Tribolium castaneum: one gene and its partners. The protein of the gene in region 2 interacts with the protein of the main gene of each other region in a pairwise test. Links are inferred from orthologs where the notes say so. Each region holds a gene or a part of one and is shown on either strand. Other genes may lie near its edges. The genes, in order: NC2alpha, NC2beta and Taf11.

Evidence for each region.
Region 1: the proteins of NC2beta (region 2) and NC2alpha interact in a two-hybrid assay, tested with the Drosophila melanogaster proteins (2 studies listed by BioGRID, with this or other methods). The link is inferred for Tribolium castaneum from reciprocal best matches to the Drosophila melanogaster genes NC2beta and NC2alpha.
Region 3: the proteins of NC2beta (region 2) and Taf11 interact in binary tests that used the Drosophila melanogaster proteins (3 or more experiments, as listed by UniProt). The link is inferred for Tribolium castaneum from reciprocal best matches to the Drosophila melanogaster genes NC2beta and Taf11.

What each region holds. Positions count from the first base shown.
Region 1 is NC_087394.1:32,793,296-32,796,693, forward strand, and holds NC2alpha (uncharacterized protein NC2alpha), read right to left. Parts: upstream 1,929-3,398; 5' UTR 1,840-1,928; coding exon 1,798-1,839; intron 1,747-1,797; coding exon 1,674-1,746; intron 1,424-1,673; coding exon 813-1,423; 3' UTR 620-812; downstream 1-619. Other genes in the region: PolH (DNA polymerase eta), read left to right, coding at 2,107-2,240, 2,283-2,417, 2,596-2,894, 2,944-3,202, 3,263-3,398.
Region 2 is NC_087398.1:1,910,286-1,912,954, reverse strand, and holds NC2beta (protein Dr1), read left to right. Parts: upstream 1-1,446; 5' UTR 1,447-1,565; coding exon 1,566-1,806; intron 1,807-1,853; coding exon 1,854-2,125; 3' UTR 2,126-2,148; downstream 2,149-2,669. UniProt on the Drosophila melanogaster protein: Bifunctional basic transcription factor. Activates transcription of DPE (Downstream Promoter Element) containing promoters while repressing transcription of promoters which contain TATA elements.
Region 3 is NC_087394.1:5,383,750-5,388,114, reverse strand, and holds the start of Taf11 (transcription initiation factor TFIID subunit 11), read left to right. Parts: upstream 1-1,491; 5' UTR 1,492-1,919; coding exon 1,920-2,200; intron 2,201-2,243; coding exon 2,244-2,428; intron 2,429-4,365. UniProt on the Drosophila melanogaster protein: The TFIID basal transcription factor complex plays a major role in the initiation of RNA polymerase II (Pol II)-dependent transcription.

The DNA of each region.
Region 1 (3,398 bases), on a different chromosome or scaffold from region 2:
ATTTGTTTTGGATGATAAAACCTTATTTTTGTTAGGGCATATGTTAATAAATCAATGTTTATCAGCATTAAAAATTCAATGACCCTTTGGACAAGTTGTGGAATTTAATTTTCTTCCCCCGAGTGTCAATATATCGGACAAAATACGTCTACACTGGACATGTCGAACGATGGAAGTAAAAAAAAACACAAATTAAAAAATTCAACTTCGGTTCGGTTTTCCCAGACTGATAAGTCGTTCATAGTCTAAGAGTGCGTTTGTATTATCTAACACTTGTTAAAATAGAATTGAAAAGTCTGTAATTAACTTATTTCCTTTATTTATTCTTTCGAATAGGTTTATGTAACAAATGTAAATTGTAGTTACCTTATTTAAGTTTTAACAGTGTAACTAATCGCCCACTTACAATTTGCAATATTAAGAGTAAGTCGCCTTGTATTATTTTCCATAGTTCAAATTATATGCGCCGTGATGAGAACTTGTGCCCATAATAATGTAAAAAACAAGATGTAATAATTTAATGACTTTATTATTTAATTTCTAACTTATATAAATAAAAGTAACGATTGGCAGGCTCATGAGGTCCTTCAGAGGAGTTAAAAAAGTAGTTGTATGTATATAAGGTATTGATTATAATACTTTAATATTTTTAAAATTGTACATAATGTACTAATGTATTTTTTTACCCAATACAAAACGTTTTAATAACAACTGTATATTTCACTGTTAGGTCATCGGAAAAGTCGTCAGGTAGGTAGTTACGTTTACTTGATACAAATGAACTGATAAATCGGTGATAAATATAGAACAATCTAATTATCATAATCTTCATCAATACACAGAGTGTCTTCAGTGTTCTGATTGTAATAATGGTGTGAAATAGGTATAAGAGGCGGGATATTGTCGCAGTTGACTGGCGGCGTATTTTCTTGGACACTATTAGCGGGCCCCCTTGTTGGTACTAAAGGGGGCACAGGTACGGGTTCCGCCACCGAAATGCGCACTTTGGGTCCTTCCTTCGCCGGCTCGATCAAATTATTAACTGAGAAATTGAACTTTTTCGTCTCTACTTGCGCTACTTTAGGTCCATACTGGATAACTGGTGTTCTAGCCGTGGACGTACTCTGCTCTGTGTAAAAATTCGCCGTTACTTCCGGCTTCGAAGCCTCCACTGCTGCCGCAGGCTCCTGTTTTGACTCGGCCTCCTGCAGCTGTTGCGCTTCGAACATCAGGTTGTTTTTGTTATCTTCTTGTGCACTTGCATCAGGGATATTTTTCACTAAGTCTTTTAAAAAGTCGAAACGACTCTCGGATAATATACATTGCTTCATGTGGGACGGAGTTAAAGTCTTGGCGTTGCGGGACTGCGTTATTTGCATTGACTTCGTCAGCAGCGACTCCACAAACAACTCCAGCGTTCGGGGTAAGCAGCGTTAAGGAAATATTACTAAAGTGAAACCTCAGACTTGTTTTCATTTTACGATCACCACTGAGCTGATAAAATTATATCTGTATTTTTTATTGCAATAGTGGCTACGATAAGAGAGTCAAAAAAAAAATACTTTTGTGAAGCCCTAACAGTGCGTGCGAGACAAACGCAATTAACTGCTTTGCACAAACGTGAAACACTCGCTTAAATTAAATAATAAACAGTCAAATAATTAAAAGGATATAGATTATAACTGGTACAGCTTGTGCCACTTTTCCAACCTCTTCATCAGTCTGCATTATTTTTTTAATACGGCCCTGAAAATCCCCCAATTAAATAAGGAATTTCCAAAATTTGGAACGACTTACTGCTGGAAATCTGGCATTGTATTTTTTCTTTTTTGAAGGCATATCTAAAAATCTTTGATTTCGTTTCAATTTGTCAACAATCACTTTCTGAAAAATGACAGTTTGAGGTTATATGTTGTTAGGGATTTTTTGCACACTTGTCAAAATAATTGTCACTTGTCATTTTTTCCTGAAATGGTGGGAAACAAAAAATGAAAATAATTTCACAATTTCTTGAATAAATAAGTAATTCAACCGTTCATTCCACTTGCAATTACTTATTCAATTGTTAAGATCAAGATTGGGACAGTTTTTAATTTGTTGTGTGGAATGGGGCCCACGGACCGTGTTGTGGTTCTGGTGGACATGGATTGTTTCTATTGCCAGGTTGAGGAGAAGTTGAACCCGGCCTTGGAGGGCAAACCGATCGCCGTGGTCCAATATAATGCATGGCAAGGGGGCGGGTAAGTGGGCATTAAACTTTGGTCTCAACTTGTTTCTCTCAGCATTATAGCTGTTAATTATCCGGCTCGTGACGAGGGGGTTACGAGACACATGAGGGGCTTTGAGGCTAAGAAGAAGTGCCCGAGTATTAATTTGGTGCAGGTTCCAGAACTAAGAGGAAAAGCTGACTTAACCAAGTAAGTGGTGTCACATGCTTTTGTAACCAGGTTTGTGAAAAAATTGTTATTTTTAAGTGACACACAACCACAAAAAATAAAACCTTATGCTACTAAATGCTTATTTTTATTAATACTTTTTAGTATTATGAAAATTACATTATTAATTATAAGTGGTTTATATTAAAAAAAATTGTAGATATCGAGATGCGGGAAAAAGGGTTGCGGATGTTTTGCTGACTTTTACACCTCTGCTTCAACGTGCTTCAGTTGACGAGGCCTACCTTGATATCACGGAAATTGTAGAAAAACGGATTGAAAAAGGCCTGGATGATTTAACTTTAATTAATCTAAGTAACACTTTTGTTGTGGGTTGCGAACTGGAAGATTTTCTTCATAATGCTATTACTAACAAGGAATATTCCATTCCCAATTTAAAACTGGCAGTTGGAGGTCTTGTGACTGAAGAAATTCGACGCGAAGTTTTCAAAGTTACTGGTATTAAGTTACTGTACCAAATTTTTGATTTTATTTATTGATGATTTAGGATACAAGTGTTCTGCAGGCATTGCTCACAATAAAATCTTGGCAAAACTAGTCTGCAGCTTGCACAAGCCCAACAAACAAACCATTCTGCCCCAGGAAGAGGTTGAGAAATTTTTTGAAACCACCCCAATTAATAAAGTGAAGAATTTGGGGGGGAAATTCGGGCAGACTCTCTCGGAGGATTTTCACGTTACAACAATGGGCCAATTAGCCAAAATTCCAGAGAAGCTTTTGGTGCAAAAATATGACGAAAAAACTGGGTATCTATGACGCAAAAATGTCTAATTTAAACTTAAAACTTAAACTAAACAATATTTTAGCAACTGGTTACATAATATTGCCCGAGGTATTGATATGGAACCTGTCACTACAAAATTAATCGCAAAATCCATCGCTTGTTGCAAAAATTTCCCGGGAAAAACTGCGCTTGTAACGGAGGAAAACGTGCAACACTGG
Region 2 (2,669 bases):
AAAACATAACAATTTTTAACATTGTTCCGACAACTAAAAGGCCATAATTTTATTTTTAAAAAACGTCTTTTTTATTGTTGAATTGGTGGTCAAAAGGGCATTATGTGACAAAACCGATTTCGGGGTGAAATGGGGCGAAAACTGCAATAGTGCATTTGCGGAGCTGGAAAACATAACAATTTTTAACATTGTTCCGACAACTAAAAGGCCATAATTTTATTTTTAAAAAACGTCTTTTTTATTGTTGAATTGGTGGTCAAAAGGGCATTGTGTGACAAAACCGATTTCGGGGTGAAATGGGGCGAAAACTGCAATAGTGCATTTGCGGAGCTGGAAAACATAACAATTTTTAACATTGTTCCGACAACTAAAAGGCCATAATTTTATTTTTAAAAAACGTCTTTTTTATTGTTGAATTGGTGGTCAAAAGGGCATTGTGTGACAAAACCGATTTCGGGGTGAAATGGGGCGAAAACTGCAATAATGCATTTGCGGAGCTGGAAAACATAACAATTTTTAACATTGTTCCGACAACTAAAAGGCCATAATTTTATTTTTAAAAAACGTCTTTTTTATTGTTGAATTGGTGGTCAAAAGGGCATTATGTGACAAAACCGATTTCGGGGTGAAATGGGGCGAAAACTGCAATAATGCATTTGCGGAGCTGGAAAACATAACAATTTTTAACATTGTTCCGACAACTAAAAGGCCATAATTTTATTTTTAAAAAACGTCTTTTTTATTGTTGAATTGGTGGTCAAAAGGGCATTATGTGACAAAACCGATTTCGGGGTGAAATGGGGCGAAAACTGCAATAGTGCATTTGCGGAGCTGGAAAACATAACAATTTTTAACATTGTTCCGACAACTAAAAGGCCATAATTTTATTTTTAAAAAACGTCTTTTTTATTGTTGAATTGGTGGTCAAAAGGGCATTGTGTGACAAAACCGATTTCGGGGTGAAATGGGGCGAAAACTGCAACAGTGCATTTGCGGAGCTGGGCAACATAACAATTTTTAACATTGTTCCGACAACTAAAAGGCCATAATTTTATTTTTAAAAAACGTCTTTTTTATTGTTGAATTAGTGGTCAAAAGGGCATTGTGTGACAAAACCGATTTCGGGGTGAAATGGGGCGAAAACTACAATAATGCATTTGCGGAGCCATAAATATTGAAATTAGGTGAAAAAGTGGGAAAAATTAAAAAGCAATTTGTGGTAAATAATTGAGTTTTTCGCTATTAGCATAGTGACTTTCTTAAAATGTCATTTTTAAGAGGGTGTTTAGTGTTTTTTCGGATTTTTATTTTATTAAACGGTTTCAAAGCTGACAACCAAACATACATCTAAGCAAACTGAAACTTATTTTGCTAGTCTGAAACTGGCTTCATGTTCGGGTCTCTTCGGAAATTCGAGGAGCTGGTTTTGGGAGCTGTCTTCACACAAATGACGATCTGTCATTTCGCGGACTCTAACAGCATTATCCTTGACATGTCAAATTGTTCCAGCTGTCCCTATTTGAGGTTAAATATCTCTTTTTTGTTGATAAATATAACAATTTACAATGTCTAATCAAAATAATGCTGGTGGTTTAACAAATACCGAAGACGATGAGCTGACTTTGCCTCGGGCTAGCATTAACAAAATGATAAAGGAGTTAGTCCCATCAGTTCGAGTTGCAAATGAAGCAAGGGAATTAATCCTCAACTGTTGTACGGAATTTATCCATTTGCTTAGTTCTGAAGCGAACGAAATATGTAATCGATTGGACAAAAAGACTATAAATGCGGAACACGTTTTGATGGGTATGTTTCATCATTGTTAAACAACACAAAAGTAAAGTTTTTCGCAGCTTTAGAAAAGTTGGGTTTTGGAGATTATCAAACCGAAGCTGAAGCTGTTCTTAAGGACTGTAAGGCTGTTGCAGCGAAACGCAGGCGACAGAGCACAAGGTTAGAAAATTTGGGAATACCAGAAGAGGAGTTGTTGAGACAACAGCAGGAGTTGTTCGCCAAGGCTAGGCAAGAGCAGGCTTTTGTGGAGCAACAGCAATGGGAGCAACTACAAGCTGCGGCACAAGCCCAAGCTTCGGCTCTACCAAACAATGATGATGATTACGAATGATTTATTAAACGCTTTAAATATTTTGTTATTGTTTTCATTTATTTTTTAATATCTTAGATTTAGGCTTTGTATCAACCACAAACATTCAATAAATAGTGACCCAACGTTTTTTACAAGAAAATTATTCATCTGCAATCTTATGCGTACGAAGTCTAAACAGGATAAAATAACCAATTTCCTAACGCTGAAAAACACTCATTATTACAGTCTTGGTAATGTAGTCCCTGTAAATAATTAAGTAATAAAAATAATTATTAAATAAATGGAAAAAAAACCTTTAAAACTAAGCGCCAACTAAGTGCCAACGTAACATGTTTGCCATGTTTTGATCTTGGCAACACTTTTTTCATTGAAATATCCCCAAGATAATGTCATTTTCTAATAGAAAAAAAGTTATTTAATTTCCATTTAGCACGTAACCGCAGAACAATTTTTATATTTAATACAAAAATAGTTTTTTTGATAAGCAAACTAGAGATACAAAAAGGCGCAAAGCTGCCGTACATTGAGGTTATGTGAATGAACTCGTGTAAGTAAATTCTCC
Region 3 (4,365 bases), on a different chromosome or scaffold from region 2:
ACGTTGCTTTATTTTAATTTAAATCTGAGGAATTTCCACATATTAATAATAATAACAGAAATATAACTTGAGAAAGTCATAGCTGGAACAACCTGTATATGATTCATGCAAAAAATTATAGACAGTTCTCTCAACAACTGGAAAAACAGTTAATTAACCGACATGCAATGTCCATCACCTGATCGGTAATTTATTTAAAACGGTTCAAAACAAAGAACAATGCAACAACAAAAAACCGACCTCATCCCAAACATTTAAAACGCAACTTATTAAACCAAACATTAATTCATTCTGTGACGGAAATTAATTAAATTTGTTGTGTGGGTGTAAAAAATCAATATCAATTAACTCCGATTTATAATTAGTACAAAATGTCTCGTCCCATCTTATTGTTTTTTTTTTCTTTCACGAAAATTGCATCTGAAACCTTTCACATAAAGCTTTATAGATTTTCCCCTTTTCAGTAGCAATAACACTGACGTTTATTTCTACAGTCCCGACAAACTTTACGATTTTCGTTTTTCTTCTGCAATGTGCACTTAGCTCTCGTGCAATTTTACATCCCCAATTCCCACCGTACGAACTTTATGCACCTGCTGTAAATTTTCATCCCTTTTACACAGCTCCCACCAGTCTGTTTCTTTCATTTTTAATAAGTCTGGCGAGGGGCAATTCCGCTAATGGTAAGACTGTTTGATATACAAAAATCGAAAATAATCAAATATTTTTTTTGCTCTGCATCAACATCTATTATTACTACGTATCGCTACGTAGAAACAATCATCTTATTTACGAAAAGTTATACATAATACAAAAAAAAAATTGTACCTAACTCGCAATTCATGCAGCACTCGCTAGGCTCGTGCCGTAAATCACCAATATCCCACCTAACATTTTGTGCAGTTAATAGTAGTTTATTTGAAGTCTCACAAAAAAGAAATTTCGAAAGATAACTTGTATTATAAAGAAGTTGTGTGCTACAAATATGTCCCCAGGTCAAAGTTTGTAATTTTATTATTTTCTAAATTAATCAATAAATGTTTCATTTAATAACTGTTGTCATAAGCAGGGGTGGCCAAAATTAAGTAATAGATCTAAATAATTTTAAAAAAACTTTAGGTACTTGTGACCCTTGAAGTCCCCACAAATTGTAGCAAATAACTGAGCATTTTTTCAGGGAAATAATCTAAACGTGGAATCGCGACTCACCTTCTTGGTTTAGCGGGGTAATGGTGGTGGTTGAAGTGGGAGCCAGTGCAAGAAAATTGGGGCACAGCAAGCCCCATCCAACGCTCTAAGGCCCCCTGCGTGCAGTCGGCGAGCACCTGCGTGAAAAAATTCAAAATAGCCACAATTTCGTGCCTTTCCAAGCGTTCCCAGCTAACGGTTTCGCACACAATGCTGTGGACGCTTGGGTGATCAAGGGGGCTCCAGGCCCGATTTGACATTTTGACAGTTGTCATCCAGCAAACAAAAGCCACCAACTGGGATACTTACAACGTGATTTTGTTGCCAAATTCGTACGATTATCACACTAGAACATTGTCAAAAGCGGTTAATTGCGAATTAACTGGTCCCGCAATAAAACAACGAAAAAAAAGCGTTTTTGTGTCGTTCACCGCGACGAATCGACCCGACACGTTATCACAATTTTTATCACTGCGAATTGGGCCTCAAACTCGAGAGAAATTCATCGTTTCATTTACTTCGCCTTATTTTACACACAATAAACAAAATTATTGTCAAATATGAGTGTGATATATTGACTGGAATTTGACACTGGCGCCACCTCAGATTTGCACGGAACTACAGAACTACCAGTAGAGGGAGCAGCGATCGCTCATTTTTTCTGTCAAAATTAACACATAACCTTACTTCATTTCCAAAAAAATAAATAGATAATGTGAAAAAAAGACACAATGGACAACATTTTTGCGAAACCTCCAGCCTCCACGAGTCAAATCATCAAAGCTGACCCCAACTACGAGTCCATGGACGAAGACGACGACTCCACTGTGGAGACAGTCAAAGTCGAGGAGACCCAGCTCACGTCTGAAATTCACATCAAAGACGAAGAAAATGTGTACCTGGAGTCGGATATAATAATGCCGGAAGCCCCTCAAAGTAGCAGCGCTCCGGCTAAGAAGAAAGAGGTGAAGACTAGGAAGGAGATGGAGGAGGAAGAGCGCGAGAAAATGCAGTAAGTTGGTGTAAAGTGGGGTTTACTGAGGGTTTGTTGTAAGGGTTCTAGTCTCGAATTTCACCGAGGATCAGCTGGATCGATATGAGATGTACAGGAGGTCGGCGTTTCCCAAAGCTGCAATTAAAAGGCTGATGCAGACGATTACAGGGTGTTCTGTTTCCCAGAATGTGGTCATTGCTATGGCTGGGATTGCCAAGGTCTTTGTTGGAGAGGTTGTGGAGGAAGGTGAGGATAATTCAAAAAAATATTTTTTTTATTTTCTCTATTACACCAAAACTATTCGAAAATGTGGAATTATTTTGGTCTAAGCCTATGTAAAATGATCCGAGGAATCGATGGGCGCCGAGAAAATCTCCAAATTCCCAATAGTTTTTTAGTTATGATTTTTTTAAGTATTAACCAGACAGCTTTCCAATGAAATTACGTCTAATAGTTTAATTTTTTTTATTTTTGTGAAGATAAGTGCCTTGACCACTAAAATTATGGTAAATTTTAGTTGACAATTGAGACCATCAGCTCGAGATTGAAAATACATTCGGAAGCTCAAATAACGTGAAAATACGTATTAACAACTTTTTTCTACAGTTGCCACTGCTTAAAGCACTCTTTAAGCTGTAAATTTATTATTATTTTTTTGATTAATTCAAAAGAAGTCGATACGAAAAAGCTTACACACCTCTTTCCGGCAGTGGTGTCACTCTAAAAAATTAGTAAAACAGTCCAAAGACTTAGAAATGTCAAACTCTTTTTTTGTGTGCAAAAAAAATCAAACATGTAAGTATTTGTGTAATTAATTATTACGCTCGATAAGACTTTCTTTATGGAATAGTGGTCTAACGAACCATTGCACTGTGGACTATGTAAAAAGTAAAAAAAATAACTATGTAAAATTACAAAAAAGTTAATTCCCTATTTTTTTTAAAATGCCCTTTTGGTTTAGCGAAGAACAGGAAAAAAACATCAATTTGAAGAGTTATAAAAAATTGTCTTGGAGCCGTGCTTTGAAATTTTAGGTCGCAGTTAAACAAAAGTTCTAAGATTATAATTTTGAAAAAAATTTTTCTTTTCTGTGCCCTACTGTTACAATAAAAAACCGATAATAAATAATAAATTCAAGACAATTGGTCGCCTCTAACAATATTTTTAAATAGCAAACAGATATGAGTAAGGAAATGGCAGTAAAAAACAATAAATCATAAACTAGAAGATTTTTCTAAAAGCTTTTTTTGTTTTTGCCCATTTGCCTATTAAGTGCCAATTTTTAAGTTTTTTTAATTTTTGAGTTAAAAGTTGCAACGTCGTAAATTAAAAAAACAAACTTAAACAAACAATGTACAATATTTCTAAATGCCCTTCGTTTTCAGATCAATGATGAATCTATTTTTTTTGATAAAGTCTCAATTGACATATTTTTAAATACAGTACTACTAGAAAAATCATTCTTTGTCACTGTACAATCACATTTTTGCTCACTAATACTCATTTACGTAATTAAAAAATAACTAGGAGCATTGCCGATTTTATAACTCAAGTCGGAGGCAAAATCTATACGTTAAAGATATGAAAATGACATAATAATTATTCCCAATTGTTATCTATCTATCCTGTTACTTTTCACGTTTATTCTATTTAAAGTAATGAAGCCTTTTGCGTTACATTCTGTCAGTAAGGTTTCGTTATATCACGGAATTTATTCCGTTTTTTGCAATTTTCTTAAGATTTGAGTATTACTTAAGACTTGTATTAGGTAAATTTAATTAAACTTGCACAAATTCAGATTTTTATTCCTGTTTAATTTGATGCTTAACAATGTAAAATAAATAATAATTTAATTCGGATTAGTTTAATTTTTTATTACCAAAATTTCATTCACTTTCTGCAATGAAGTCTTACGACTTCTTATTAAATAAATGACACCCACTTTTGTTGTAATTAGTGAGTTTTAAACCACTTTGTTATTACTGTTACGAATAACTAACACAAAACTTACAATTGTTTTTTTAACGGATCCAAGACCACTTTTCAATTGTCGTTACGTGACATCAACTCTGAAATGTATTCTAATAACGAAAAAATGCACACAATTGTTTTAATTAATTAGATCATTCATACGTCCGGGGTATCTTATCTTCTTGTAAATATTAATAGTTCTAGTGCTCTAA